Caenorhabditis elegans: one gene and its partner. The protein of the gene in region 1 purifies or fractionates together with the protein of each later gene. This does not show direct contact. Each region holds a gene or a part of one and is shown on either strand. Other genes may lie near its edges. The genes, in order: cyn-9 and mif-1.

The links.
Region 2: the proteins of cyn-9 (region 1) and mif-1 fractionate together in Caenorhabditis elegans (co-fractionation; one large-scale study listed by BioGRID). This does not show direct contact.

What each region holds. Positions count from the first base shown.
Region 1 is NC_003281.10:3,686,447-3,702,730, forward strand, and holds cyn-9 (Peptidyl-prolyl cis-trans isomerase 9), read right to left. Parts: upstream 13,195-16,284; 5' UTR 13,188-13,194; coding exon 13,100-13,187; intron 13,049-13,099; coding exon 12,921-13,048; intron 12,876-12,920; coding exon 12,672-12,875; intron 12,275-12,671; coding exon 11,951-12,274; intron 11,686-11,950; coding exon 11,548-11,685; intron 11,498-11,547; coding exon 11,450-11,497; 3' UTR 11,375-11,449; downstream 1-11,374. Other genes in the region: pdi-1 (Protein disulfide-isomerase 1), read right to left, coding at 13,406-13,582, 13,633-14,439, 14,490-14,873, 14,920-15,009; C14B1.2 (Conserved plasma membrane protein), read left to right, coding at 15,881-15,979, 16,024-16,140, 16,195-16,284. UniProt on the Caenorhabditis elegans protein: PPIases accelerate the folding of proteins. It catalyzes the cis-trans isomerization of proline imidic peptide bonds in oligopeptides. Thought to function as a catalyst in the folding and modification of cuticle collagens.
Region 2 is NC_003281.10:11,846,209-11,862,492, forward strand, and holds mif-1 (L-dopachrome isomerase), read left to right. Parts: upstream 1-1,943; 5' UTR 1,944-1,946; coding exon 1,947-2,057; intron 2,058-2,106; coding exon 2,107-2,282; intron 2,283-3,056; coding exon 3,057-3,123; 3' UTR 3,124-3,314; downstream 3,315-16,284. Other genes in the region: ntl-3 (Not3 domain-containing protein), read right to left, coding at 203-253; Y56A3A.2 (Membrane-bound transcription factor site-2 protease), read right to left, coding at 4,295-4,391, 5,303-5,505, 7,342-7,764, 9,182-9,631, 10,637-10,825, 10,883-11,142, 14,760-14,988; taf-12 (Transcription initiation factor TFIID subunit 12), read right to left, coding at 16,271-16,284.

The DNA of each region.
Region 1 (16,284 bases):
TCTGTTGAAGCCGCTAATGTTTTATTCCATTTTTTAGACAATCAGAATCAAAATAACAGAACAAAAAATTATCAAATTCGAACTCAAAAATAAACTTTCAAAAGAAAACTGCCGCGAATCAGGAAGTCAAGAGGTCTATTTTAAGAAGGACCTGCCTGCTCTCTAAAAATTCATCGAATAACATCTTTGAAAATGGTAATGGGGTTATTCAAGTAGTGTCGGAAAATTAAAAAGTGTAGAAAAATTACGTCACAACTGTATTCAAGTAAACAAAAACATGTATTTAAATACATTTGTGACGTCACAAATGTATTGGAATACATTTTGCTACATTACTTGAATAACCCCATAAGAGTATATATGGAAATGAGCAATTGAATTGAGCAAATGAACAAGGTTTAGGTTAGTATCAGAATTCAACTATTTTCTAAAAAAAAATTTTTTAGAAGAACAAGAAAAATTCAAAAATCTAATAGCATTCATATTTTTGAATTCATTCACTATGACTTTATGACGTGTTGAACATATGTTTTGACATCTGGTCTTGAAGGTATAAAATGTCTTGTAATAAGAAGTCAGAAAACTACGAAAAATACCAGGTTTCTTAGAGTACAGGAAATTATAACGGGAGCTCTGGATACCGGAAATTTAATTTTTTTATTTTTTTGGTAGGCGAAAATAAATTGATGTTATGTTCTATTATGAAAAAATCTAAAAGAATTGGTGCAATAAGTCCTTGAGCCGAAAATCTCCAAAAATCCACAATGCGCTATATTATAAATTTTTTCTACAAAATTAAGAAATTTCGTAACTTCACCAATTCCAAAGTTAAAAGTAGCTAGACACAAGAGCCGTCCTAAACCTTCGCAGGCCACAATTATGTCATCAAGAAAATGCTTCTGAGAATAAAAAAAATAGTTTGGATAACAAAATATTTAAGTAAAAAAATATAATCCTTTGATACTTGAAAGTGTATTAGACTAAACGGATTATAACCGATCGGATGTCATCAGAAGTGTCTAAGAGGGTAACATGTAATTAGGCAGGAAATCGAGATGTTTTACACTTTCAAATTGAGTGGGCGATGAAGTTTGTGGCTTGAGCTGGAAATGAGCAATGTTCGGAAGGGGGCCTGGACTTTTCTAGGTGGCCGTGAAATGAGAAAATTCGGATATGTTCTACTAATTTTTGAAAAATGATGTCAAATTGAAAAACTCGACCGTCAATTTTCAAGCTTCAAAATTATTGCCATATTGGATTAGATGGTTTTTAAAAAGAATAAATACATATTTATATAAAAAATAAATTTCCAAGAAGTTAACAAAAACCCATCATCAGATTACTGAGAAAATAAAATTAATCATATAGCAGTTGTCACTATAATTAAAATTACAGATTACTTAGAACTTGACCAAATATTGGCGTCACCTGGTTTGGAATTGATGTATGATTGGTTGAGAATTTTTCTTAAATTTAAATATTAAAAATTGGAATTTTAGAAAGATTTTTCCAATAAGTTGAGAACATTTTGAAATTTTTTTTTAACTTTTACAGAACTATTTCAGAATTAAAAATGAGATATTTCTGGAATTTTTAAAACAACTTTCAAGATAAAATTTGTTGAGAATTTTAATAAATTTCAAAAAAAAACTCCAAAGAAATTGTTTAAACATTTTTTTGAAATAAAAAAAACTGAGGAATTTGTACAAGTTTTAAAATTCAAAAATATTAAAAAATACAAAATGTTTTTGTAGATCTACCAAACATTTTTGATGACTAAACTCGCGTCAGCTCATTAGAAATATATGTTTTTAATTAGTAATTTTTTTATGATTTTTCTAGAAAAAAAAAACGTCAGTTTTTACTGCAAAGAAGCCAAAATTAAAGATTAGAAACTAAAAATCTCTAAATCGAAAAAAACGTTGCATACAACCACGCGTCATGCCCTTCTCAAGCACACCACTTATTGCATATTAGATGATTTTTTAGGCATTAAAATTTCAAAAGATCACAGTGCTCAGTACAAAGAATTACAGAATTTTAAATCGAAGAACTCAAAACATCACAAATGAAATTACGCGCAAACTTTGACAATACGAAATTATTTTTTATTTCAACAAAGCACATTGTCATGTGGCTCGACAAATGCTGAACAAATATTATACTTTTCCTTCCACTAAAAATTTAATTTAAAAATTGTTTCAAAGTCCCAAAAAGTGGAGAAAAGGTGCATCAAAATGCATTCCTAGAAGTTGTTAGAACAAATAAGGATTGAACTAAAAGATGCTCGGAGCAAATCTCAAGCTCTTTTCTGCAAATTGTTGTGAGCCCCTTCTGGACAGGAAATACCCTCCTTGTGGTCAGGAATGTCACGTATTAGTGAAAATTGAAGGTTTTTTGAAGTTAATTGAAAATATATATTGCTAGTCTTTTCAGTTTTGCCCGTAAAATCTGATGCATTTTTCCCTAATGCATAATATTTCCCGAGCAAATTTAAGAACAATTTCTTACAGAAAATTCAATTTCTACAATAAATTGAGAGACAAACTTTAAAAAAAAATGCTCGTGAAATTTGAAATTACAGGAATGTTGCGCACAAAATGCGTCATACGCGCGAACGATTTCTATTTTTGACAGTGAAATTTGAACGCCATGGAAGCTTCGGAGCAGAGTTTTGCGCGGAAAATCTGATGCATAATTATTTTGAAAAATGTGCGTAAGATGTGATGCATTCCGTCCAGAAATAGGTCCCAATGCATTAGATTTTACGGGCAAATTTTTTTGAAAAATTTATAGAAAATTTGTTTAAAAATAGATTTATTATAAAAAAGTTATTATTATAAAAAGTTAGACATTAAGAATAAAAAAAATGAAATGTGGCGTTTTACAAAAATATCCATAAAACATGGTGCATCGAATCCAAAAAAATGTCTAATGCGCTAGATTTACCGCGCAATTTTCAGAATTTTCTGGTAGAATAACTAAAAAAATGGCTTGTGAAACATGGTGCATCGAAAAATTGTTTGCAAAATATTCAATACACCATATTTAACGCGCAAATCTCAACGACAGTGTAGTAGTCACAAGACAAAATTACCAATAAAAACGATTAAAACGAACGTCAATTGAACTTTCTTTGTGTGCTCCCTCCTGAATCAGTGCAAACTTGGCAGATTTTAGAAAAGGGAGCACACGAGGGGGCAATTCACACAGTTGAGGCAAAATTTTCCGTGTTGAAACAGTGTTGAACGATTTATGTAACGAGAGAATTAGAAATGGCTGAGCAAATAGGCAATTCGGTTGTTGGGGGTCGCGATGGAAGAAGAGCTGCTGGTTGCCACATAAAGTACTGTAGACTGATGATCGAAAAGCGGAAGTTTTTTTTTGCTTTGTTAGTAGTTTGGAAAATTATTTCTTGAGGGTTAATGGGTAACTGGACATTCTGGAAATTGTTGGACAATGTTCTTTGTGAAAAAATGTATCCAAAAAAATTATAGATTTTTTTTTGAAAAAGACAAAACTTTTTTGAAGCCCATCGGACGACGAACGTTTAGATGCATACTATTAGGAAAATTTTTAAAACAGAAAAAAGTCTATCTGAAATTTTTTTTCGGGTTTTTTCCACTTTTTTTTTTTGAAAAATTAGAAAAAAATTAGTTAAAGTTGTTTCCAGCTTTAGAAAGCATAAAGAACTAATTTTATGCTTTAAGAAAATGTTAATTTTTCAATAATTTATTTTGGAGGGAAACCGGTTTGGAAAAATATTCCGATTTTTTCAAAAAGCTTCCATAATGTTTGTATACAAAATTTCAAAGTTGGAACTAGAAAATTGTGAAAAAAACGCACTGAAAACATTTTAGATCGACTTATTTTGCAGCTCAAAGTGCTCCTCGGCATCTGAATTTTTCTTAGTGGACTGCTACTATAAATTTTTTTTCTCAGGAACTGGAAGAAGTCAGAGAGAACTTCTATACTTTTTTCCTAGTATGCAATCCCAAATGAACCGTGAAAGCTACAAAGAATTCCAAAAATCTTGCAATTTCTCCTGAGAATATTAATCTGGCTGAAAAAACCTGTTTGTGTCTGATTTTGAGGTATATTAAAAATAAAAATATTAATAACAATCAAAAAGCGATCAAAAAAACATGGAAGTAGTAATTCACAGGTCTGGTCTGCAGAGATTGCTTAGGCACATAGGCAGGCACGTAGGCAAGTAAGTGGTGCAGATTCGAAAAAAAACGCTTATTTAACATAAAAGTAAAAGAACAAACAGTAAATTAAGTTGTTGAGCTAAAGTGCTATGGCATATTCTAATTCATGCAAAGTAGTTATTTTTCAGGGTGAGCCGCTGACTTTCAGATTGTTGTTTATAATAACTTTTTCTCAGAAAATACCAGAAAATACATCTGAATGTGACGTTTTTCAGGAAAAGAAGAACAAAAAAAATTCATTTAATAGACGTTCAGTTTTTCTTCTTTTTCAGTTAATTACTTTTGTGATCGGTTTCTCGCTGAAAAAATGTATTTAAAAATTATAATTTCTGCTACTTTCTGTCAGAAAACTATTCGCCTTTTTCTGTCTGCTGCATAAAAAATTAACGTGCGAATTCGTCAATCTCATGGGAAAGGAAAAAATAAAGACAAAAAGGGAATAAATGTTGATTCCGCATTCTGATGTGAAGAGAAAAAGAAGTACTTATCTCGTTTTGTTTTAAGTGTGGAATGACGGATAGGGAAGTCAAGCTTTTTCAGAAAATTTTTGAACTTGAAAATGCATCTGCGCTCTATTGCAGTTTTCTTGATCTTTTAGAATTGTGTGTTAAATGTGGTGCCTTGAAAGTCGCTGAACCAGATTATTGTGCAAATTTATGTGGTGTCAGAGTGTCCCATTTCGGTTTGGTCTACGTAGATCTACAAAAAATGCAGGAGCAGACTTCTCAACTGATTTCGCATGGTTAAGAACGTGTTGTTGTCACATTTGCGAAAAATTCCCGCACTTTTTGTAGATCAAACCGTAATAGGACTCTCTGACACCACATGATATTTCTAATTTAAAAAAAGAAGGTGGCAGGCCGGCAGTTAAGATAACTTTTGAGTAAAAAATAGTTCTACTCCGCAAAAAAAACCCAAAAACCATAGATCTTTGTTACTTCCCTCTTGAGATGTTTAATATTATAATGACGTTAAACAAAAAATACATGAAGAATAACAGGGGTCGACGCACAAATTAGGTTAGTCATATTGCTTGTTAAAAGAAAGCATCACGACGAAAAGCATATTGAAATATCAGAAAAACAGGCAAAAACCGGAAGTTTAAAAATTACGTCAAAGCAAGTGTGCTCTACTGTTCATCACTAGGTAGAAAATATCTCGGAGCATTCTCACAGGGGCAAATGAATGCTCATTTTGTCATGGAAATCTTGAGCAAGAAAAAACCATTAAGAATCCACAAACGTTACGTTTATTACGTCCCAATTTGAATATAGACTCGTCTTGAAACGAAAAAAAAACGCATAAAATTGAAAGACATTAGACTTTATTGCAATTCTGTCATTTCCGTTGGATATCTTTTTAAATTTATTTTAAATTTTATGTATTTTAATGGGAAAATTTGAAAAGAGATTTTTGAGCAAAGTTTTGCAGAAGATATGGTGCATTGAGCCGATGAATAATTTTGCGAAAAAATAATTTTTGAGTTTTTGAATTTTGCGTTAAGCTATTTTTATACGCGGAATTTAAATTTCACGATAATTTTTCAACAAAAATTTTAATTTGGAACCAAAACTTGTTGGAAAATATCCGAATTTTTAAATTCGCGCCAAATTGTTCAAAAAATAAATTCTATTTTTTAATTTTGCACATCTATTTAATCTAATCTAATGGTAATCTAGATATCTATGTAAAAATATAAATTTAAATTTCGCGCCTAAGATTTTGGGAAAAAAAATTGAAAATTGAATTTTTGGAAAAATAGTCAAAGTAGGAATTTGGAAGGAAATAGTGCCAAAAATTATTTGATCAATTTTTAAAGGTAATAAATTAATTTTTGAACAGGTCTTGAAGCGAAAATAAAGCCCATTTAGACTCCACCCATAATATCTCACTTCAGAAATTTATTTTTCAAAAAGTTCTGAAAAAAATCAGTGGGAGGCTTGACGTGTTTGTTCCCAAAAAAAAATGTTTCTTGTCCACATTCATTTTTGATGAGTTCCAATGGACAAAAACAAAGAAATTCTGGAATTAAATTTCATCGCTTCAATAGTTTTCTAAAATATTCTAATTCAGAATTTAAAAAAATGTAACACAAACATTTGGTTCAAAAATTGAAAAGAGCCAATCTTCTGGACTCTAAAATGATCACACATCTTCCGGTGGAATCTTCTTTTAATCGTGCAAATTTAAATGTTGAAAGAGAGACAGAAAAGGGAGAGTTAATGTAATTTTATGCGACACACTCGGAACATTCTGGAAAACGTTTTCCAATTTTGAAGAGTGATGGTAAAACATAAATTTTAAGGTTTCAGCTAGATGATAGCAAAACAATTTGAACTGCGAAGTTATGTAAAAAATTGTATTCTACATTTTTGTAGTTGCCAAATTTTTGATATCATTAAAGATGGACGAGATATACCGTATATTTTCTATTAGTGCTGCATCTCCAGTAGTACTGCAGTCTCTAATAGTGCTGCATTCAAAAAGGGTCCAAAAAATAGTGCTGCAGTCTCTATTAGTGCTGCACCCCATTTTCTATTGAAAGAGTCACTTGACTGTTTCGATATTTTTGGGTATTTTTTTTGTATATTTTTGATGATTTTTTGATAATTTACGAAATTAATTGAATTATTGGGTCTTTTTGTTACAAAAGTTCGCAATTTTTATGAATTTCTGCTTAAAAAAAAGAGCTTTTGTGACTAAAAACTAGTGATCTATAATTGAAAATAGCCGTTCGAAAATTAATGCTGCAGTCTCCAGTAGTACTGCAGTCTCTAATAGTGCTTCATTTAAAAAGGGCCTGGAAATTAGTGCTACATGCAGCACTAATAGAGAATATACGGTATAAGGAAAAATCGGGGGAAATTTTTTTTAAATTTTTTGGAGGAGGGGCGGTGTCAAATGTGTATTTTTGTCAAAACTGAAATTCTTTTTTAGAACTATACTACTGCAAAAATGATATTTAATTATGTTTTTAGTTTATTTGAAATATAATTTTTTAAATTTTTTTTAAATTCAGCTCTTAAAAAAATCTCAAAGTTTCGCGTATGGCTAACATCTTAATGAATTTTTTATTAGTTTTTAAAAAGTATGTTACCTTTTAAAATAACAATCTTGAAACACAAAGTCCATGCAAAAAACATAAAAAATCTGCGAGTGAAATTGAGAAGAAAATTAGATTTCAAAAGCATAAACGGATATAAATTCAGAGACCACTTGTTTAATTTTATTTTTGCAATTGGAGTTCTCACAATCTGGTTTATTACTGGAAATTAGATCGGGTCAGGTGCAAATTTGGAGTACTGTAGTCCTTGTGAAAAGAAGGAAAATGGGATTATTTAGTTCAAGGAAAGGATTTTTAAATTCTGTTTTAATTCTGTTTTCAAGCCAAGAAAACACAGCGTTCGTATTACCCAGACGAAAAATACGACACCCGGTCTCGACAAGACAAAATTGTTAAATGAAAAAAGGTTTGCGCCTTTAAAGAGTACTGTAGTTCCAGTTTGAATAGATTTTTATTTAAGAAAGTATATTTGTTTATTGAAAACCAAGCAGAATAAAACAATCAAAAATACATTTTAAAAAAATTTTAAAAATCGATAAGAATTCGGCAGCAACAAAAGAAATTTGGAGAGTACAGTATTCTTTACAGGCGCACATCCCTTTCTAGATATGTATAACACAATTTTGTCGTGTCGAGACCGACCATATTTTTCGTGCAAAAATCGCAAAATTTCGGGTCTGCATAATAATTAAAAGCGTAAGAAACATTACATATCCTTGAAAAAAATAACTAGTTTTACATGAAAAATTCATTTTTCACTATTTTGAGATTAATTGAAGTTCGCAACAACAAAAAATCCACCCACCTTGCCATATTTCTCAAGTGAAACACCAAATGATGCACCAAGAGCTGTTCGAGAGAAAAAAAAAACAGGAAAAAGGCGCGAGAGCCGGATGTCAACAATGAGATTATTGCGCCAAGAAGGTGCTATCGAATCAGAAAAAGCTGAAAAAAACTGCTGAAAAACACTCAAGAATGATATAGAGAAACAAGTCTTGAGGGGAAAGAAGAGGAACCTTGATAGTTCAGTCTGAAAAAAAAACAAGTGCTCGGGGGAGGATTCGAGGAAAAGCGGGAGTCTAGAGAGCAATGGACTCAGTTTTGAGATTTAATTGAGAGGCTTCCACTTTAATTCCTGAAAACGAGGCAAAAAAATTGATTTTTATTCGATTTCATGCACGCTTTTTCAGACATTTGTCGTGAAATGCGTTTTTTTTTTGCTAAAACTGATGTAAGAATATTTCGATCGTGTCGAGACCAATAGTCGCAACACTTGCCGAAAAAGGCCGCCTACTTCTCATGTGTTTTGTTAGTTTAATCCGATTTTCAATATTATTTTTTGTGCTTTGATTTCAGATATTTCTAATATTACATTAGCGACTCAAACAACTAATCTAAGCGCAAAAGCGCTCCAAGGCAAAATGAAAACGCTCCTCCCACAACAGCTGGGTCTCGTTAGGTATTGGCGGCAAAACCGTAAATTCAGACTTTTTCAATTATTTTCACCGATTTCAAAGCCAAAGTGAATTATTGAAAATTAATGTAGAAAAAGTTCTCTTTTCAATAATTTTTGTATGAAAAACGGGAATAAATGTTCAAAAATGCTAGAAAACCGGTGAAAACCATTGAAAAAATTCAAACTAACGACTTTACCGCCAATACCCAACGAGACCCAAATTACGGTAGCCGGAGCATTTTCATTTGTCCGTGGAGCGCGTCTGCACTTTGTTTCAGTTTTCTGCGTCTCTACAATATGTATAATATCTATAGTTTTTTATGTCACAGAAAGAGGATTTTGGAACATAGCCGTGAAAATAATGGTGGCCGAGTTTTTTTTCTTCTCGCGGCCATTCCTAGGCTTTAGGCCACACGGCCTCCACCACGAGAAATGCGCAGAGAGAGCGCAGAGAAAAAGGCGGTCTCTGCGTCTCTCACCTCCACAGCATGGCGAGAGTGCGCGCTCAACCACCTCACTTAGAAGGAGTCGGGAAGAAAGGAAAATGCATATTTCTGAAAAGAAACAATTGGAACGGATGCAGAGTACTGTCCTCTACAGTCTGGCATAAATTTCACAGAATAGTTTTGTCATTGAAATAAGTGAAGAGAGTGAACATAATATTACACATTCCCCTCTAAAACGAGCAAGTTTAAGATTTTTTCCCAAATTTTTTTTGTAAAATGTATTCAATATATTCCCAATTAATGAGTTAATACAAAAAAACCCCAATAAATAAGTTATGAGAGAAACTTTTTTTGACATCAAACATTTACAGCTCAAAATTTCAGCACTTTCCGGAAGCTAGTGACCGTAAAATGAAAGATTTCAAAAATCGGAAAAAATACGATTGTTCTAATTTTTAATACGCACATTTTGACATATCACACATGAAAATTGGTCAATGTTGAAAATATGTTTTTTGATCTAGAAGATTGACTACAGTACTAAAATGACCAAATTTTCAGGTTTTTCGCAATTTTCAGGAAATTCTTGGCTTGGACTGAAAAATCGGAAAAAATACGATTGTAATAATTTTTAATACGCACAAATTGACATATCACACATAAAAATTGGTCAATGTTGAAAATATGTTTTTTGATCTAGAAGGTTGGGTGGCGACTACAGTACCCGCTCTACTGCGCCCTCACACTTTGGATGCTCCTATCTCCGCTTCTATGAAAGTTACAAAAAAGTTGTCAACTAACAAAATGTTCAGTTTGACATTGTGAACATTTTTTCTGTTGACAATATTTTTCTAACTAGTAAGACAGATAATATAGACCCCAAAAGTCGTACTTATGAGAAAATCAGAGATCAGTTCATAACTCAAAAAATAAAGACTTTAGAAGAAAGTAGTCAACTGCAAATGTGTTAGATATCTTATATAGAGTATTTTCCCAATAAAAAAACCAATTTTAATGTTTAGGATTTTTTGATATGGCCGGTTTAAGATGATCACTTTTCAAAAGTCAAAATCTCCATTATTTTTGTAGATAGAAATGTAGTTTTTGCTGGTAAATGTTGTTTTTTATCTGCTTAACATTTTCTCAGTTGAAAATATTTTTGTATCTTCAGCGAGGACAGAGATTTGATGGTTTTAAGAGAGGGTACTGTAACTGGGACTTCATTCATCAAATCATAGCTGTATCTTTTTAGTGGAACGAGATATCAAAAAATTGTCAACTAAGAAATGTTCACCTATTTGTGATGTTCATTTTGTCAGTTCACCGCTAGTTTCTATCTCCAACGCGAAAAAAGTTGTAGCTGTTCAAAGTCCATAAAGTACATACACTTCACCACGAGAAGAGCGAGAATCAACCCGAAGCCACAGTCGTACATATTTTCTTTATTTAAACCGTTCAAATACACTCATCGTATCATATTTAACAATTTTCAATCTAAAAAAGTGCTCTTCTGTCCATAATTCTTCTAATTCCATCTAATTCTTGCTAAAAACCACTGAAAAACAGCTCGTATTAACTATTTATTGTAAGTTCCGCCTTCCCATTTTATCAACTTCACTATTTCTGTGAAAAAAATTCAAAATTTCGTTCAAAAATAGCGATTCTAGCTCAATTTCATGAATATCTGTTGAAAGCGGCGGCGAGGCAAGGTGGTCGTCCGCAAACGCGCAAACAAAAAGCGAGAGAGTGTGCGCATTTCTCGTGGTGGAGGCCGTGAGGCCAAGAATAACGCTAGAAATTTCCAGAAAACGTACCTGAAAACAGAAAAAAACCTTTTTTTTAGTTTTCTAAACTCAAAAAATATTTTTTGTAAGAAAGTTGAAAAAAAAAGTTCAACCAATTTTCGAAAAAAATAAAGAAACTCCAAACAAAACCAGTGGGAGTACCGGAATCAAATCAAGCATAACGATTTTTTAGTCTTTGTTCTCTCTTTTCGAAGCTTCTCGAGTAGGAGGAGTTGTCTCTGAGCCCCCGACAAAAGAATATGCCAGGTTCTCACAAATTATTCAACGAGTGAGGTGAGAGAGAGAGAGATCAAAGGTATCCGTGTCAGGTACAAATCTGAGAAGAGAAACCGGAAGACTGCCACAAGAAATGCGTGTTTTCCGTTGTTTCTTCTTCTATTTATAAAAATAATAAACTAAAAAATTTGTATTGCACCGAGCTGGAAATAAAAACAACGAATTAATTAAATTAATTTTAAAAAAAAGATTTAAACGAGATCTTCTTCTGGATGTTTGTGGCTGTCGTGAACCCATTTCTGAAACAAAAATTCAATTTAAAAATTATAATTATTCAGATTTAAAATACCGTCGGCGCATTTCTTCTCCAGTGCTCCGGAGTCGCAGATCTTTCGCGTCGGAAGCGTACTCCTCCACGCCCACGTACAGTAATTCCGTTTTCATCTCTGCGAGGTTGGCTTCGCGAAGAATCTCCTCGATTTTCTTTCTGAAAAAATCTAGTTTAAGAAATTAAGAAATTTAACTTTAAAATAGTTTCAAAAAATCGGGAATTAATTTTGGTGGAAAATGGAGAAATGACAGGAAGATGCTAAAAATTAGATTTCTCCAATCAAGTAAACTTTTTTTTTTGCAAATTTTTTCCATTAAAAATCGAAAAATCAGCGAAATTCAATTCTTGATCGATTGATTCGAAAATATTTGGTTCTTTTCGTGGCGAGACCTGGAACCGAATTTTTCATTACAAAATAAACCTTATAGTCGCGATTCTTCTCATGAGATCTAGATCTTGATCTTCTCGATCGATACTCTCTTCTCTTATCATTTCTCATTTCATGCTTCTTCTCATTGTCATCATCACGATAGAGCCAAGATTTCGGGCATTTCGGGATCTCATTGTCCCTTGCGTTATTATTTTTCTCTTCGAGAGCAGCGGCGAGCTCTTCATCTGTCTTCAATGGTTTCTTCTTTTTCACGAGTTCTCCACAATTGGAGATCAAAACTTTTGCGAGTGGTTTCGATTTATCATCAACCGCAAGATTGTCGATGTAATCTACAACGTTTTGTCCTTTGACAACCTGGAATTCAATTTATTTTAACATTAAAGTATAAAAGTATCGTAATTTCAACAGATTTTGACTTAAAGGCGCACGGCTTTAAAGAGATGGGTCTCGGCGTGCTAAAAATTTATAGTAGTTGGTTTTTTTGTTCATTTTTCTGTTATTTTGAAATCGTTTTAAATCGGTTTTCCCTGTAAAAATGATTTTATGAACAAAACATTACTTTTTATTTTAAAACTGAAAAACAATTTTTAACAAAGTGAAAACAGACGCAAAACTTCAAAAATGACTACCATAAACTGTCTTTCGCGCCGAGACCCATCTGAATAAATCTCTGCGCCTTTATGTTAGAATCTCGTGAAATCATGATTTTATAATTATAAAATTAATATATTCTTTAAAATCCATTATGCACCTCTCCAAAAACAACATGTTTTCCATTGCAATGTGGAGCTGCAGCCGTTGTGATGAAAAATTGAGAAGAATTTGAATTTGGTCCTTTATTGGCCATTGACAACAAATAGGGCCTTGAGTGCTTTAATTTGAACTTTTCATCGTCAAAGTATCGTCCGTAGATCGAGAATCCTCCTCTACCATCTCCTTCTGTGATGTCTCCTCCCTAAATCGTCAATTTTTCAAAAATTTCAGCTAAAAACCGCCGGACCTGGATCATAAACTTCTTTACAATTCTATGAAATTCGTTTTGTTTGTAATGAAGCCGTGCTTTATTATTTGGAGTCATTCCGACTTCTCCTGTGCACAATGCTCGAAAGTTTTCACATGTTTTAGGTGCTGAAAAATAATTGATTTTTTTTAAATTAATTTTCTGGGCAGATTTCTAACCATCTTCGACAAAAAGTCGTATTTCAATTCTTCCAATCAGATTCTCATCGACTGAAATATCTAGGAACACTCTTTTTTCAGCGGCCATTCGCAGCCTGAAAATGGTTTTGGTTTCGATTCGAAATTTTAAATTCCGAAATAAAGAAATATAATTTCACAGAAGCCTCAACGAAACAAAAAACATTCTCCGGGATTCAATTTTTAGGGTTTTATATATATAATATATACGGATGGAAACAAAAAAAAACGAGTAATCACAATTCAACGCCGTGACTTCAAACAATAAATAACATATATATTATTAATTTAAAGCTCTTCGTGATCCTGAGATGCGGTTTCAGATTCGGAAGCAGATCCAGCATACTTGTTGACAAATTCTTCGAACTTCTCGAGGTTTCTGTCTCCATCATAGTCGACTGGGGTAGAAGATCCGGCTGGCCACAGCTTCAGGGTTGGGAAAGAGTTGACCTTGACGTCGGCAAGCTGAAAATGGAAATAATAATTATGAATATTGATACTTTCAAAATTCTTACCTCGTTGAGAGTAGCATCAAGCTTTGCAATGACAACATTTGGGTTGGACTCGTACTTCTCAGCAAGCTCATCCCAAACTGGAACCAGTTGCTTGCAATGTCCGCACCATGGGGCGTAGAATTTGACGAAGACAGTCTTGGTTTCATCAAGGGCAATTTCGTTGAAGTTGGAGGCGACGAGAACCTTAACTGGGAGTGCATTCCAATCTTCTGGAAGATCTTGAGCCTTCAAGTCTTGAGCAGACTTTCCTTCCAAATATGAGTTGGTGAAAGCTTCGAAATCTTCTCCTTCTTGTGGCTTGAACTTCTCAACTTGATCGGCAAGGCTGACAATTCTGTTGGCTGGGGTGTTCTTGGCATCGACTCCGAGGAACTCGAGAATTCTTGCGTTCTCTTCAACATCAACGTCGAGAAGAACAAAGACGATCTTAGCACGGAACTTCTTAGCGACCTCAGTGAACTTGGCAATAGTCTCATCGAAAGAAGAGTCTGACTTGCGGATGATCAAAAAGTGGAACTTTTTGAGGTCTCCTCCGACGATTTCTTGAGCAGATTCGTGGGTGAACTCGGTCACGGCAGAGAGCTTGTAAGCGTGGAGCCATTGCTTAAGAGCGATGGTGTTGGTGATTTCAGCTTCAGCAATTGTGCTAGTCTCGCTGTCGTCTCCATCAGTGCGGATAAGAGCGACTCCATCTTCATTCAAAGATGCGGCAGCAGCAACCTCAGCAGAACCGGCAACGGCGAAGAATGCGTCATCGACAGAATCAGCAACTTCGTTGTAGATGGTAGCAGCATCAGATTTCGCGTCCTGAAAAATAAATAAATTAAATAGGTTGTACTTTTTATGTAAAAAAATACCTTGAAGTATCCAAGAACAACAACTCTGGTCTTTCCCTTCAATTCCTCGAGTTGCTCAACTGACTCAACAGTGGTAACAGTTGGTCCACTCTTCTTCTTGACCCAATCGACAATTTGAGCGGTGGCGCGTCCTCCGGTGTATTTCGTTGGCTTTCCACTCTTGAAGTAGAGGATAGTTGGATATCCACGGACCTCGAACTTGGATGCAAGAGCTTGGTTTTCGGTGGCGTCAACCTTGGCGAGCTTGATATCGGATCCTTCCTCCTTCAGCAAATCGGCGGCTTCGTCGTACTTTGGAGCAAGAGACTTGCAATGTACACACCATGGAGCATAGAATTTGACTAGAACAAACTCATTTCCATTGATAGTTTCTTCGAAATTGCTCTGAAAACAGTTTTTTAGAAGATAATGATCAGAATAAATGTTATACTTCAGTGAGAACAAGCACGTTTTCGCTGTCAGCAACAACTGCTCCGATTGATGCGACCAGGAGGAAGATAAAGGACACTGACAGTGACATAATTACCTGAAAATTTAAAAAAATAGTAATAGAAAATTTGAGGAAGTTATCATTGAAGAGAAAAGAGGTATAGACAACGATAAGTGTGCAAACAATACGTTAGCCATTACTTTGCGATCAAAAAAGTAGGGTATGAGTATTGACAAACGCAGTCAATTTTTCTTTTAAAAAATCCTCGTCGTTCACAACCTGCTAGGAAGAGTGCGAGCGACGAGAAGAGAAGGAGAATAAGCGCACGTTGTAAAACAGAGTAACGAGAGAAAGAGAAGAGACCGTGAACGCCCCGGCAGAGACAACGAGGACCGCGAAACTGCAAGACGAATGGACAGTGCAGTATTGACACGTCAGCATACGCGTGTACGGGAGATGTCCACGTGGACGTCACCGTGGCGACCTTTATGACTTATTGAGATGAGAGTTCGCGCATTTAATGGAAAATTAATTGTGTTCTAAACCTTAAAACAGTGAGAAAATGAACAAAACACATCGAACTGAAAGTTTGTGCAACTACAATGCTAAAGGAACGTCGACGGCCCGGAAATGAGAGTCTATTCGAATATAATTATGCTTATCTTCAACTTAAAATTATTCTGAACCCAAAAAATTTATTCGGAATGGGCAAGTTTATCAAAAAAGTTGTTTTTGGAACTAAAATTAGCTCAAAAAATGACTTTAAAAACTGGGTCAAATAATCACTCTTTTAAAGACGCACCGGATTTAAAGATATGGTCTCGAAGCGCTGTATACAGTGTAGTCCGAGTGGACAATCAAATACTTGTTTCAATGATTTCTAATTTCATTTTTTTTTGGAAATTCTTTTTTCTTTCGTGATTTTGTCACATACATATTACATTATATTCAGGTTTCCGCTATGAAAATCCCACTAATCCTGTTGCTGGTTGTTTCAATTCAATGTTTCTATGTGAGAAACCAGACTGAAGACTCGATGGCAGAAGGATTACGTTCGAAGGTGGGCTCAAAATGAGGATATATCAAAACACATAAATATTAAAGGATAATAGTATCGAATTGTTCGGTCAACGCGTGGAGGTGCCGTCGTGGTTGAATACGGCAGCTGAGAAAACAAGAGGAATGTTTGACTCTGTGACAGGTCTTTTCGGAAAGAGTACAGTAAGTATATAACATCGACGGTGGGAGGGGTCATATTGACACAACCGTTTTTAGGCCACGTCGCGCAGATCGTCGGACGGCTTGATGACAAATCTGAAGAAGGATGAGGCGACAAGGATTTGGTTTGCAGTCTATCTCAACATC
Region 2 (16,284 bases), 8.1 Mb from region 1:
AGTTCTCAGATTTCGGTATACCACCTTTAAATGTACATGAATCGACGAAATAATATGGGAAAAGCTGTCAAAATATGCAATAAAGGAAGATAATTTCAAAAAAAGTTGATTTCAGACACGAAAAAGTTGGAAAATTGGAGATTCTAGATGAAATTAGGCACCGAAATTCGTTTATTTGAGCGATTCCTTCGAATAAACTCACCTTTTTGAAGCATTTGTCAATTTCTGCTAACAGTTTTCGCTTTTCAGCCATTGTACTGCAAAAATAAATGTTTAAAATTTGAAATGAATGGGTTTTTTGTTCGAAATTATGGAAAATGGAGCGTTTTTCCTGCAAAAATCGGGTTTTCTGGGTTTTTACCGCGAAAAAATACACAAAACTATGCGAAATTACCGATTTTTAGGCCAATATTGAAGTTTCAGCGCATTTTTTACGCTGAAACCTCGAAAATCACCTAAAAATCGATAATTTCATACTTCTGTGCATTTTTTGCCGAAAAAACGCCTGAAAAGCCTAAATTCAAATCTTTCGCGTGTTTCCGCTAAAAAAATTCGATTCTATAAGATTTTCAGACATTTTTCCGGAAAAAATCAAAATTAAATGTGAAATTATTGACTTTTAGGCAAAAATTTGAAGTCTGAAAATGATTTTTTAGTGGAGAAATCTGCCTAAAATCAATAATTGCACATTAATTCCCAATTTTTTGCGGAAAAGGCCTGAAAATCTCACAAAAAAACGTTTCAAGTCAGATTTCACCGAAAATAGGACAATTTTAGCAGGAAAACCACTGAATTTTCGCGAAATTGAAGAAAAAACCCTCCATTTTCCATAATTTAAAGCACAAATCCCGGAAGAATTGAAAAAAAAGAGGACGAAAAAAAAGTTTTGAATGAGGAAAAACTCGAGTAAGTGTGCGTCAATGTGCAGCAGAAAGGGAAGCGCAGAGAATAAAAGATGCAAAACAAGCCCGTTGGAGAAACAAATTATCGATTATATGCCGTAATACCCGCTAAAAATCGCAAAAAACCACGAAAACATGCAAGAAATCGTCCGATGAAAGATGATAATGCCGGCCAGGAGAAGCGAGAAGACCACCATGTCAACAAAGTCCGTGAAAATCGATAATTTTGAAGAGAAAAATGACATGAAAATATCGAATTTGTGTGGTTTTTGTTCGATTTATTGTAATGGAAACGAGAAAATAAGCGAACACTGGAAAATAATTGGATAAAAAAATTAAAAAAAAAAACAATTAAAATGAATTTCCGCGTCATTGGCGGTTTTTGGGACAACACAATTTATTTTTTGAATATTTCATTGCAATAATCAAAAAAAAAGCCATGGAATTATTAGATTATTTTAAAATCGATGCTTAATTGGGAAAAACAAGCAATTAATTGAATTTTTGGGCCAGAACCCAAAAAAAACTGACTTTCAAAGGATTTTTCGGTAAATTTCCCCGATTTTCAATCAGAAATTCCCATTTTCTATTAAATAATTGAATTTTAAAACCAAAAATCCCCCCAAAACCAAAACCGAAACGTTGCAAAAAAACATTTATTGCAAAAAAACATTTCCGGACGAATCATCTGACGAGGTACGGTCGACAATTCGGGGAGGGCGCTTTGTACGCAAAAGTGTTTGCGTACATTGTCAACCGTACTCTCAGCACTTTGTTTTTTTGTTTTTATTCTTATCTAATTTCTCATTTTTAATGAGAAATACCCCCCAAAACAACCAAATTTCGGGGGGAAAAACCGAAAATTTCCACATTTTTTCATTTCGCAGCAGCTGGAATACAGTATATCGCATATTTTAATAGAAAGAGCTGCGACAAGGAAAACTTGGCGAAATCTGGCCATTTAGGGTCATTTGGAGCCAAAATTCAGCTCTTTCTCCGATTTTTCTCTCTAAATTCCCTAAATACAAGGAAATTTTCCAGAAAATGCCAGTTTTCTCCATCAATGTCAACGTAAAGGTCCCTGCCGAGAAGCAGAATGAGATCTTGAAAGAGTTGTCAACTGTTCTCGGAAAGCTTCTCAACAAGCCGGAGCAGGTATCAACTGAAAATCTGAATAATCTACAACGAGAACACATAATTCCAGTACATGTGTATTCACTTCCACGAGGATCAGGGAATCCTGTATGCTGGGACCACTGAGCCAGCAGGCTTTGCCGTGTTGAAATCGATCGGCGGAGTTGGAAGCGCTAAGCAGAATAATGCGATTTCCGCCGTCGTTTTCCCGATTATTGAGAAACATCTTGGGATTCCAGGAAATCGGTACGGAGGCCCCACAGAAAGGAGGCCCCACCACGGAAAAGGGATCTGCGAGAAGGCGATCTGTCATTCGAAATTTTTCGATTTTCAGCGTTAAAATTACGGTTCCCGGTCCTCCTATGTTTTGTTACATTGCGAAAAAGTTGCGGAAAAGCAGCGCCGCACAGAAAAAGAGGCGGGGCGTGGTTTCGCAACCCTGCCGCACGGTTTTACGACCTAGTTCAAAGTTTTTTAGTAAAAGAATGATGAATTTCTTTTCCGCGATGCGAATTCCCGAATGAAGCCCCGCCCAATTCCGTACCGCAGGTTTGCAAAATTACGCTCCGCCTATTTTTCTGTGCGACGCTGTTCTTTTTTTGCAAGATTCACTGATCGATCATTTAATTTCAACAGTACTGCAAAATTTTTGAAAATTTAAAACCAAGAACTGGGGGGGCTTAACTCTGGAATTTTTTTCCACGGATCAAAATCCCCCGAATTGAAAAAATCCCCCCACACCCATTTATTGTTTTGTATCAATTTTTCCGTTTTTTCAGGTGCTTTTTGCAAAATTCACGGGTACATTTTTTATCAAAAAAAAAAAAATTCCAAAAGTAAATTTACAGTACTCTTTTAAGGCGCGCACCTTCCCGGAATTTAAGTTTTTTAATAATTTGTCGTGTCGAGACCCCTGGTACCGTATTTTTTGGCGCCAAAATCGTAAATTTTGAAGATCATGCTACCAGATCCACATCTTCCCGTGGTGCCTCCTGTGTGATTCGACAATTCAAATTTCAGCCTCTACATCGAATTCGTCAACCTCGGCGCCGCCGACATCGCCTACAACGGTCAAACCTTCGCCTAAATTCCATTTTTTCACACCTACTTATGTACTTATTCCCTCACACTCCACGCCGTTAATGTAGAAATCAATAAAAAAATAGAAGCAGAAAAAATACTAATTCAACAGCAAAAATTCAAAAAATTAGGAATTTGTAGTTCATTTCAACAGTGCAAAATTGTGTAGGGAAAAAGAATAAAAATTTGAAAAAAATACAAAATTAATTTCAAATTATGAGGCTTTAAACCTATGTGCACTACCAGATAAAAGTGAAGGAATTGTTTTAAAAACAAAAAAAAAACATCTTCTGGTAAAGAAGAAGAACCCGGGATACAGGAACAAAGTGGTAAATAGAAATTTTGCGAAGAAATTTGAAAGGGCTCAAAATTTTGGGAAAAAAATAGCCAAAAATTCGCTAAAATCTGAAATGATGTCCCATTACGGTTTGATCTACAAAAAATGCGGGAATTTTTCGCCCAAAAAATGTGACGTCAACAACCATTGCGAAATCAGTTGATCTCCCGCATTTTTTGTACACCACGCACTGAAATAGAGCTTTTATGAAAATTTCCCCCCCTATCTGGAATTAAATAGTTGGTACAGGCACATTTTAGGTCGCTAGGCGCCTGCCTATGCCTACCTAATTCAACGAACTAGCACGAGATAAACGCGATAAAGGGTGAAAAATTGATAAAAACCATATTCCAACCGCTGCAGAAAGGAAAATTGGTGAAATTTCAGATTTTAGCAATTTTTTGGGTTTTTTTTTTCGAAATTTTGAAGTGTTGGAGTAGTGTCAATGGGAATTTTGCTTGGAAAAAGCATAAAAATTGTCTCAAATTCAGAAAAACAAAAAAAAAATCGAAGGAAAAATCCAACGAAAACGCTATTTTTAAAATTCCCTCCAAAATGACAACTCCGCCCACTCCGCCTGATTGGTCGTGCAGTTCTCAATTTGGAGGGATTTTGAAAAATCGCCTTGGATTTTTCATTCTTTCTCGATTCGTTTTTCTTTTGTGGTATGCCTAAATTTAAGACAATTTTGGATTTTTCGAAGCAAAAAGAAAAAAGATTATCACATGGAAATCGGAGAGAAAAAATCAGTATAAAAATGACAGATCGGGCGGGTAGAAGAAGCAATAAACGACGACACGTAAGAGGGGAAAAAAAAAATTTTTTTTTTAATAATTCAATACTAGTTTATGGCTAATTTGACGAAACCAATGACAATATTAAGGATGAGCACACCGGTGCCAAATGTTAGAATCAGGTACTGGAATAGTTCACGGCGTCTGGAATAATTTATGGGTTTAAGTTGAAAAAGAGAGAATAAAAAAGATTAAAAAGCCAAGAAATGGGCGGGGCTTTATTCGGGAACTCGGATCCGTGGGAACAAAAATTCCAAAAAAAAATCACATTTTTAGTCTGAAAACGTGTCAACAAAATTAGTGCTTAGTTTTTGAAAAAAGCTCAACTAAAAATTATGGAATTTTCGTTCTCGCGGATCTGGATTCCCGAAATTAAACTCCGCCCAATTATTGGCTTTAACTATTTTTTTTCTTAATATTGCGGTGCTGTTGAAATAAGATCTGTGGATTTTGCAACAAAAAAAAAACACTGTCGCACAGAAAAAGAGGCGGGGCATAAATTCGCAACCCTGCGGCACGGTTTTTCGTAGATTTTCTCAAATAAAGTTTCGATTTTTCTTCTTTTCTTATATTTTTTCGAATGAAAAGTTATTCTCAAAATAATCGAAAAAAAGAGGCTGAAATGAGAAAAATCTCAATTTTATTGAAAAAATCTACGAAAATCTACGAAAAACGTGGAAAACCGTGCCGCAGAATTGCGAAATTAGGCTCCGCCTCTTTTTCTGTGCGGCGTCGCTTTTTTTCCTGCAAAATTCAGGGATCGAGCATTTAATTCCAACAGTACCGCAATATGAGACAAATAATAAATAATAACCAAGAAATAGGTGGGGCTTTTTATTCGGGAATTCGGTTCCGTGGGAACAAAAATTCCAAAAATTCCCATTTTTAGTCTGAAAACGTGCCAACAGATTTTTTCTCTCAGTTTTTGAACAAAAAACTCAACTAAAAATGTTGGAATTTTCGTTTTCGCGGATCCAAATTCCGCGAATTAAGCTCCGCCCATTTATTGGCTGTTTCGCATCAATTTTTCGGGTTTTTTTTGTTGCAAAATTTACCTAACGCTCAAGCCGGAACTCTTCAATAGCGTATGAACTATGAATTGCCCATCAAGAGCATACACAGGCATTGCATTGAATAGGCCAAGTGCCAGAGACAGTGTGAACAGGTATTTGGCGGTTAGCTCAAAATGTTCGAGCCACGAGATGCTGGCGAACGTGAAGCGCGGAGTGAACGACGATATTGACACCATTTCGAGCATCTGCAAAAATTTTTTGCGAAATTTTAGATTTTTAAAGAAATTTTTGGATTTGACGGTCAACCTGTTATTATGGGAACACAAAATTCCGAGAATGCATATTGCACAACATATTTGACGCGCAAAATATCTCGTGGCGAAAAGAAAACTACAGTAATCCTTTAAATGACTACTGTAGCACTTGTGTCGTTTTACACTGCAACTTTTTTCGAACGAGGGACGAGGCAAAAAGGTTTCTAGGCCATGGCCGAGTCCCCGACAAATTTCAGCGGCCATTTATCTTGCTTTGTTTTCCGCGTGTTTTCTTTTGTTTTGCACCGATTTTTTCCGTTTTTTCTTATCAAAACAAATAAATAAATATTTTTTGCAGATGCTAAAACAATTTCCAAGTGAAAAAATTGTGAATTCAGCCGGCAAGTAGCAGTGAAAGTGGGCAATGTAATATGATGGATTACGGCTATACAAAACCCAAACTTTTTCTGAAACATGATATATATGCTTTTAAGATGCTGAAAGTACCTGATTTTCATAACGAGACAGCTAAAAAAGTTTTTAGATTTTCAAAATTCAACATTTTGTGCCAAAATCTCGACTTTTTTACCAAAAAAGTTGAATTTTGAAAATCTCAAAACTTTTTCAGCGGTCTCGTTATGAAAATCAGGTACTTTTAGCATCTAAGCATCATATGTATCATGTTTGGGGAAAAGTTTGGGTTTTGTATTCCCGTAATCCATCATATTACATTGACCACTTTTACCGCTACTTGCCGACTGAATTCACAATTTTTTCATCTGGAAATTGTTTTAGCATTAACAAAAAATATGTATTTATCAGTTTTTATAAGAAAACACGGGAAAATCGGTGAAAAACACATGAAAACAAAGCAAGTAGAAAATGTCGTAAAATGTCGTAAATTGTGTGCAAACACCGATTTTTCGCATTTTTTCTCAGCCCTCGTTCGAAAAAAGTTGCAGTGTTTACGGGCTCGTTTTTCGAAATGAAATTTTGTTAGCGAAATTCAATTTTATTTACTATTAATTTGTGGTCATTTTTGTGTGTGTGTGTGTGTTGTTGTTTGAATAATTTTATCGATTAATAACTAATTTCCGTAAATCGACACAAACGGCTACAGTAGTCATTTACAGGGTTACTGTAGTTTTCTTTTCGCTACGAGATATTTTGCGCGTCAAATGTGATGTGCAATACGCTTTCTCAGAATTCTGTGTTTCGGTAATAGGTGTCGCACAGAAAACGAGGCGGAGCGTCGTTTTGCAAACCTGCGGCATACCGGCCAAGGCTGTCATAAAATCGAATAACCGAAAACCGAAAATTATCGATTTTCTGAAAAATCGAAAAATTTTAGTTTTTCGATTTTATAAAACATCGTGTACTCCTCGTAGACGACTGTCAATTAGTTTTTCGCAAAATTCTACAGTTTTTGTCCTCCAATGCGAAATAGCCAAGAAATGGGCGGAGCTTAACTCGGGAATTTGGATACTCAGAAATAAAAATTCCATAATATTTTTAAATCTTAAAATGTATAAACAAAAGCTCGACTAAAAATGATGGAATTTTCGTTCCCGCGGATCCGAATTCCCAAATTAAGCCCCGCCCATTTATTGGCCAAGCATTTTAGACAGAAACCTATAAAGTCGGCGCAAAAAACTAATTCACACTTTTCCAGGAGGTGTACACACGAATACACGAAGCTCCGCAAAATTTTCACAATTTCCCGGGGCAAAAATTCCCGCATTTTTTGTAGATCAAACTGTATTGGGAGTGCCAATTTGGGACAGCCTGAAACCACGGAAAAAAACCAAAAAAAAAAGGCTTCTGTACCTCATTGAGCTGCCCCACAAAAAGAATAGGCTTATTTCGATTCGCGAGCTCAATTTTCACAAGCCGCGTTCCATTGTGTAGTGCCGGATAGACACAGATCTTCTCCTGATGTGCTGCTGGGGTTTCCTCCGTTTTACACGGCTCACTGGCGTTACAGAGCGCCTGCTGAACCACATATCTCGCATGAAGGCAGCTATACTTTGTGATCTTCTTCTCTTCAGGCTGTGCAACACCACCGTAAGGTAAGGCATCATCTCGGCCGCCGCCGCCGCCTTCTAACCCGAGAAGAGCATTGAGCTGTGGAGCTCGTGTCTGTGTGTCGACCGACAACTTGCTGGCTTTCTCTTCTCGCTGGAAACAGACGTGAGCGGTGGTCACGTTAAACTCGTCACAGCACAGAATTTCGTCGGCTTCCGTGCGGTGCTGAAAATCGGCTGTTTCAAAAAATTTGGACCAAAATAGCCAAGAAATGGGCGGAGCTTAATTCGGGAATTTGGATAAGCGGAAACGAAAATTCCTTTCTTTTTAAGTCTATAAAAGAAATTTTTTTAGTTTTTGAAAAAAAAAATTTGAAAAAAATTCCCGCGGATTCGAATTCCCGAAATAAGCACCGCCCAATTCTTGGCTATTTTGCATTTGCATACTTTTTTAAAATTTATATTGCGGTGCTGTTGATGATAGATCCTTGAATTTTGCAAAAAAATGCAGCGTCGCGCAGAAAAAGAGGCGGAGCGTAATTTTACAATCCTGCGGCACGGTTTTTCGTAGATTGTTTCCAATAAAGTTTCGATTTTTTGTGTCATTTTTTCTTTCCAATGAGAATGTTATTCTCAAAATATTCGAAAAAAGAAAAATCTCAACTTTATTGGAAAAAAAGTGGAAAAACTGTGCGACAGGGTTGCGAAATTAGGCTCCGCCCCTTTTTCCGTGCGGCGCCGCCTTTTTTGCTGCAAAATTCAGAGATAGATCATTAAATTTTAACAATATTTAAAACTTTTGTAGCTCAAAGCAGCGTCGCATAGAAAAGAGGCGGAGCGTAATTTCGCAACCCTGCGGCACGGTTTTCCGTAGATTTTTCTTGTTTTATTATTATATTTTTTCGAATGAAAATGTTACTCTCAAAATATTCGAAAAGATTCGAAAAAAATAGAAAAATCTCAATTTTATTGAAAAAAAAATCTACGAAAAAAGTGGAAAACCGTGCCGCAGAGTTGCGAAATTAGGCTCCGCCTCTTTTTCTGTGCGGCGCCGCAAAATTCAAGGATCGATCATTTAATTTCAACAGTACCGCAATATAAAAAACATGACAAAGAAAAAAGGGGTAAATTGGTACAAAATAGCCAATAATTGGGCGGGGCTTAATTCGGAAATTCGGAAATTCGGATCCGCAGGAACGAAAATTCCATCATTTTTAAGCTGAATTTAAAAAAAAATTAAAAAATAAAATTTTGTTTATACATTTTTTGACTGAAATTTTTGTTGGAATTTTCGTTCTCGCGGAACCAAAATCCCGAATTAAGCCCCGCCCGGCTATTTCGCAATAGTCAAGAATTGGGCGGGGCTTAAGTTTGGGAATTCGGATCCACGGGAACGAAAATTCCATCTTTTTAGTCGTAAAAACACAATTTGTTGTTAGTTTTTAAAGAAAAAAGCTCAGCTAAAAATGATGGAATTTTCGTTTCCGCGGATCCAAAATTCCCGAATTAAGCTCCGCCCATTTCTTGGCTATTTCGCACTAAAATTGTTCAAATTTCACCAATTTTCTCCGTTTTTTCTCTGTTATACTGCGGTAAATTGGAGCAATTTAGGGCGAAAACATTCAAATAAACGAAAAATTCACATTAAACGCCGTAGCCGCCTCGACAGATTCCCGATCAACACATCTCCCGTTATTCATATTTTTCGACGTTCGAATACACCTCCACCAGTCGGCAACAGTCTCCACACGACACTCATCGACACTTTTCACAACGTCTCCAGCGACAAGGCCCGTTCGCGGATTGGATAGGCCTGAACGAACATCGACACCCCGTACGGACACGCCGTAACCGTTCGCCAACACTGGTGACAGAATGACTGGAGACGCATGAAACATGGCCATTGCGAGAAGAGCCAGTAGGAGATTGTGCCAGATTCCGGCGCCGAAGATCTGAAGTCTACGGAATGTGGTGGCACGTTTCAGAGTGACGGCTTCAATGTCTGTGAAGGCACCCGGATATACTGCAAGGATGAAGATGCCGAATCCGTTGACTGTGACACCGTTTGATGTGGCCGCCCACGCATGACCGAGCTGCAAAATATTTCGATTTTTTTGGCCAAATCGGCGGAATTGAAATTTCTGGTAAAGTGCCAGAATTTGAATTTCCGGCAAATCGGCAAATTGCCAGAATTGAAACTTCCGGCAAATCGGCAATTTGCCGAAAATCAAAATTCCAGGCAAATCGGCAATTTGCCGAAAATCAAAATTCCCGGCAAATCGGCAATTTGCCGAAAATCAAAATTCCCGGCAAATCGTCGGAATCGAAATTTCCGGCAAATCGGTAAATTGCCGGAAGTGAAATTTCTGGCAAATCGGCAATTTGCCGAAAATCAAAATTTCCGGCAAATCGTCGGAATTAAAAAAGGGAAATTGCCGGAATTGAGATTTACGGCAAATCGGCAAATTGCCGGAATTGAGATTTACGGCAAATCGGCAAATTGCCGGAATTGAACATTTCCGGCAAATCGGCAAATTGCCGGAATTAAAAACTTCCGGCAAATCGGCAAATTGCCGGAATTGAAATTTCCGGCGAATCGTAAAATTGCCGAAATTGAAATTTCCGGCAAACCGGGAAATTGCCAGAATTGATATTTCCAGCAATTTGCCGGAATTGAAACTTCTGGCAAATTGCCGGAATTGAAATTTCCGGCAAATCGAAAAACCGGCAAATTTCCAATTTTGCCTGAAATACGGCAAATGCCGAAAATTTTCACAAAATTGTGGTTGTGCACATTTTTTTCGCTGGGATATATCTAAAAAAAAAAAACAGGAAAAATCTTTTCGAAAATCCCTCTAAAAACTTCCGGCAAAATTGATGTTCGGCAAACCGGCAAAACGGCGGCATAACTAGGTTTAAAAAATCGAAAAAAAAAATCGATTAAAAAAAATCGATTTTCGAATTTCCAAAAAATTAATGGAATTTTTTTTTTTTGAATTTTTTCACATTGATAATCGGTATCGGGAGCATTAATAAGGCCTTTAGAAACATTTTGAAATTTTTTTAAAAAATTTTTAAATGCTCAGGTTATCCCGAACCTCATGAAAAACCGCTGCAACTATCAAAACGAGCATAAAAATCGGAATATGTCCCCACGGAAGGTTGAATCCAGGAATTATCGGAACTAATCCCCGATCTTCAGATTTCTGCCCATCCTCAATCATATCGTATTCGGTATCCTCCATAATCACCGGGTTATGAATTTGATCCGAATTTGCTGCTGTTGTCTGAAAAACTTTCGTTCAATTTAATATAAATTCTTCATAGATCTGAATCTCCCGAACCGTCTTCGCAGGTGGTGGTGCCACGGCGGGGCTCAATGAAGTCAGAACATGGTGCATCGATCGATACTCCATTCCACGATAAGCTTGAACTTTTGGTCGAGCCGTTGTCATCCATTGTCCGACATCTTTGATTAATAAATGTGACATGTAGAATGTCATTCCGAAGAGACAGATGATGGAAGCAATGACACCGCACGCGAACCACATTCGGATCACGAGGATTCGGCATTTCAGGCGACGTGATTCTTCGAAAAATATATCTGCAAAAAAAAATGTCACGTGGTGTCTCATTTTACTGCAACTTTTTCCTCACGAGAGACGAGGAAAAGTGGTTTCTAGGCCATGGCCGAGGGGCCGACAAGTTTCAGCGGCCTTTTATCTTGCTTTGTTTTCCGCTTGTTTTCTTTCGTTTTTCACAGCCTTTTGCCGTTTTTTCTTATTAAAACTGATAAATAAATATTTTTTGCAGATGCTAAAACATTTTCCAAGTGGAAAAATTATGTATTCAGTGGGCAAGCAGCGGGGAAAGTGGTCAATGCAATATGATGGATTACGGGAATACAAAACCTAAACTTTTTTTCCAAACATGATAAATATACCGCTTAGATGTTGAAATTACTTGATTTTCATAACGAGACCGCTGAAAAAGTTTTGAGATTTTCAAAATTCAAATTTTTTAGTGAAAAAGTCGAGGTTTTCGCACAAAAAGTTGAATTTTGAAAATCTCAAAACTTTTTCAGCGGTCTCGTTATGAAAATCAGGTAGTCTCAGCATTTAAGCAGCATATTTATCATGTTTCAGAAAAGTTTAGGTTTTGTATTCCCGTAATCCATCATATTACAATGCCCACTTTCACCGCTGCTTGCCCACTGAATACATAATTTTTCCACTTGGAAAATGTTTTAGCATCTGCAAAAAATATTTATTTATCAGTTTTATTAAGAAAAAACGAAAAAATTCGGTAAAAAACGAAAGAAAACAGGCGGAAAACAAAGCAAGATAAATGGCCGCTGAAACTTGTCGGCCCCTCGGCCATGGCCTAGAAACCACTTTTCCTCGTCCCTCGTGAGGAAAAAGTTGCAGTGCATTTCGCTTTGTTCTACAAAAAATGCGGGATTTTTCCCCCCCCCAAAAAACTGTGTTTAATGTCATTTTTCATAAAAATCTGAAAATTTTCGCTCAGTTTACGATAGTGGGTCTCGACGCGAATTCGTGTAGTAATTCGGGTCTCGTTGTTAGGTGGTATACCACGTGGTGCCAAGCTGTTTCATTACGGTTTGATCTACAAAAAATGCGGGAATTTTTCGTCGCCCAAAAACCTGTGACGTCAGCACGTTCTTAACCATGCGAAATCAGTCTCTTCTCCCGCATTTTTTTGTAGATCAACGTAGATCAAACCGAAATGAGACACTTTGACACCCCGTGAAATGTTGGTTTTTGACATTTCGGGGGCTTCGAAAAATGTTCTATTTTGCGGTTTTTATTGATTTATTGATTTCATTTATTTATTTATTCCCTCTCAACTATGCGAAATTTCAAGAGATAATATTTTCCGGAAAATCGAAAAAAAAAGTTCTAAAAATTAACAAAATTCCACATTTTCTCAAATTTTGGTAATGTTGATGGCAAAAAAAAACATTAGAAACATATTCAGGGAACACAAAATTCTGAGAATGCGTATTACACAATATATTTGACGCGCAAAATATCTCGTAGCGAAAAGAAAACTACAGTAATCCTTTAAATGAGACTACTGTAGCACCTGTGTCGATTTACGGGATCTCGATTTTTGAAATTTTTTTTCGAAAAAAAAAATTATTTTTCAAACAGAAAACGCTTACTCATTAAAAAAATTCTATTGATAAATTTTTTTTTGCAAAAAAAATACAAAAAAATCGAGATCCCGTAAATCGACACAAGCGCTTCAGTGAAGAATTACTGTAGTTTTCGCTACGAGATATTTTGCGCGTCAAATATGTTGTGCAATACGTATTCTCTCAGAATTTTGTATACTCGTTGATATTTTCGTTGAAGTTTTCAAGTGTTCTATTTTCCGAAAAATCTGAAAAATCGAAACAAGTGCTCTAAAAATTAACAAAAATCTTTTTCCATTACTATTTTTAAAAAGAAGAAAAAAATACAAAAATTTAGGATTTTTTTTTTGAAATTTCGGAACATCAAAAATCGAAAAAAAATATAGAAAATGGACAAACGTTGGAATTTTTTACAGATTTTTGTTGACTTTTTTATAGAAAAATTGCAAATAGCTCCCACGCAACTTTTGGAATTTTACAAAATTTTTACGGAAACTTCGGCATTTATTAATTTTTAAAAATATTTTGCCTAAAATTTTCAAATTACTTAAAATTTCAATTTTTGTTGGGAAAATTTTTGAAAATTTAGAAATTTATTGCTGTTTTCGGAATATTTGATTTCTTAAAAAATAGTTTCGGAAATTTTGATTTTTTTGGGAAAATTAAAAATTTAAAACTTTCGGAATTCAAATTTTAAAAATTTAATTTTTACGCGGGAATTTGAAAAATTTCCGCAAATTTGTCGGTATATATATTAGGTCTCCAAATAAGTTCCGGGCCAAAAATCATAACTTTGTTCGCTGCGTATCGATTTTTATGAAACTTTGGGAATTAATGTTATCAACCATGATCTTTCATTTGACAATAGTCACAAAATTTTTTGACCGTCCGAAGTGCCCAAACTCAGAGCCAATTTTTTCAGGCATTTTCAGATCTCGCTTTTTTTCAGGTTTCAATTGAGGTCTGTGTGCGGATTTTGCTAAGTTTAGTACACAATGTAAGAAAACAAAAAAAGTTTTGGAAAAAATCCGTCCAAAAAAATTTTTTTCGTCGGTCGTCAACAAATTTTCAAAAAAATTTTTGTCGAAAATTCTTGATTTTTTATACAAATTTGAGTATGAAATTTGGATCTCGAGAAATACTCCAAAAACTCAAAAATATTTCGAAAAATATATGTTTTCTGCTATTATTTCAGTGTGACGCACTAAATTGAAATGTTTTGTATGTGTAAAAATAGTTTGCACTTGGTTACATCATTTTTGTATAAAAAGTCAAAAATTTTCGACAAAAATTTGTTTGAAGATTTATTGACGACCGACGAAAAAAATTTTTTTTGGACGGATTTTTTCCAAAACTTTTTTTGTTTTCTTACATTGTGTACTAAACTTAGCAAAATCCGCACACAGACCTCAATTGAAACCTGAAAAGAAGCGAGATCTGAAAATGCCTGAAAAAATTGGCTCTGAGTTTGGGCACTTCGGACGGTCAAAAAATTTTGTGACTATTGTAAGATCATGACTAATGAAAGATCATGACTAATGAAAGATCATGGTTGATAACATTAATTCCCAAAGTTTCATAAAAATCGATACGCAGCGAACAAAGTTATGATTTTTGGCCCGGAACTTATTTGGAGACCTAATATATATACCGACAAATTAGCGGAAATGTTTAAATTCCCGCGTAAAAATTAAATTTTTAAAATTTAAATTCCGAAAGTTTTAAATTTTCCCAAAAAAATCAAAATTTCCGAAACTATTTTTTAAGAAATCAAATATTCCGAAAACAGCAATAAATTTCTAAACTTTCAAAAATTTTCCCAACAAAAATTGAAATTTTAAGTAATTTGAAAATTTTAGGAAATATTTTTAAAAATTAATAAATGCCGAAATTTCCTATTTTCTATTTTCGGAATATTTGATTTCTTAAAAAATAGTTTCGGAAACTTTGATTTTTTTTGGGAAAATTTAAAACTTTCGGAATTTAAATTTTAAAAATTTAATTTTTACGCGGGAATTTAAACATTTCCGCTAATTTGTCGGTATATATATATATATCCGTACCCCGCTTCTTCTCCTCATCAACAACAATATCGGTGGGTTTTTCACTTAAAAGTGTATCTTTTGGAGCGGGTGTGACGTAGAATCGAAGCTGAAACGGTGAAACTTCGATTCCGAATCGATGGGAAAGACGGAGATATGGCTCGAAATGGGCGACTCGGAGCACATAATCTATCAGAAATACCGCACTCCACGCGATTAGGAAGATCGCGATCGCACTTGTCGCCAGCATATAGTTTTCTGCAAAAAAATGTGTGTGTGGATTTTCAGAGAATTAGTATTCCTAAAACTGGTTTTTTTTTTGTGAAATTAGGGAATTTTGAACTCCCCGACCAATCAGCGTCTCCGAGAGCTCCGCCCACTTCGTTTGATTGGCTGGAAAGTGGGCGGAGCGAATCGCTGATTGGTTTTGCTGTTTAAAAATGGAGTTTTCACTTTTTTGGAATTTTTCTAGATTTTTTGTATCTCAATTTCGTGGAAAAAATTTATTTCAAAAAAAATTCGATGAAACATTGAAATTAACTGAAAATAAATAATTTTGCGGAAAAATGTGTGCAAAATAATTAAAATTTAGAAAAAAATCAATGAAATTTTTGAAAAATGATTTTTCAAAATTTTCGGCGATTTCTCTAAATTTTTTACAATTTTTTTTTAAAACAAATATTAAAAAATTTCGACGGTTTTTGAAAATTTTTAGTGATTTTTTCAAAAATCCAAAATAAATTAGGATGAAAAAAATTTTTTTTCTATCAAAAAACTCTCAACGATTTTCTACATTTTTTGGCGGTTTTTCCAAACTTTTTACGATTTCTCCAAAATTTCAACGATTTTCTAAATTTTCCTCAATTTTTCTAATTTTCCCCGATTAAAAAAAAAAATTTTTCACGATTTACCGAAAGTAATAATTTTTTCAATAATTTCAACATTTTCGACGATTTTTTAAAAAAATTTTTAATGATTTTCAAAATTTTCAGCGATTGTAAATTTTTAAATTTGTGTCAAATTTTTTTTTAAATTTTCAACGGTTTTTCAATTTATTAATGACTTTTCTAAATTCTATTCAAAAATCCGATAAAAAATTTAGAAAATCACTGATATTTTTCAAAAATCGATAAAAAATTCGAAAAAAAAAATTTCTTAAATTTTTATTGGTTTTTCACATTTTTCGCATTTTTTCTCATAATTTTCAAAGATTCAAATCATTAAAAAAGTTAGAAAAAAAAAACTCACATATAAATTTGCTCTTTGCTCTTCACTTTAATCGCATTCTCGGCCGATTTTCTGTCTGAAATTTGGATTTTTTCAAGAATTTTTCAAAAAAAAATTCTAATTTCTCACGAAATTTACCAAATCTGAAGTGTTGGAGGTATTACTCAAGGACTTGAAACCTTTTAAAAACCAAAAAAATGAAGAAAAAAAATTTGTCATAAAAAGAGGAAATTCATCGTGGAAGACCCGGAGAAAAGGAGGTTTTTGAATGGAAAATTAAAATTAAAACAAAAAAAAATTAATTTTTAAAGTTTCTTGA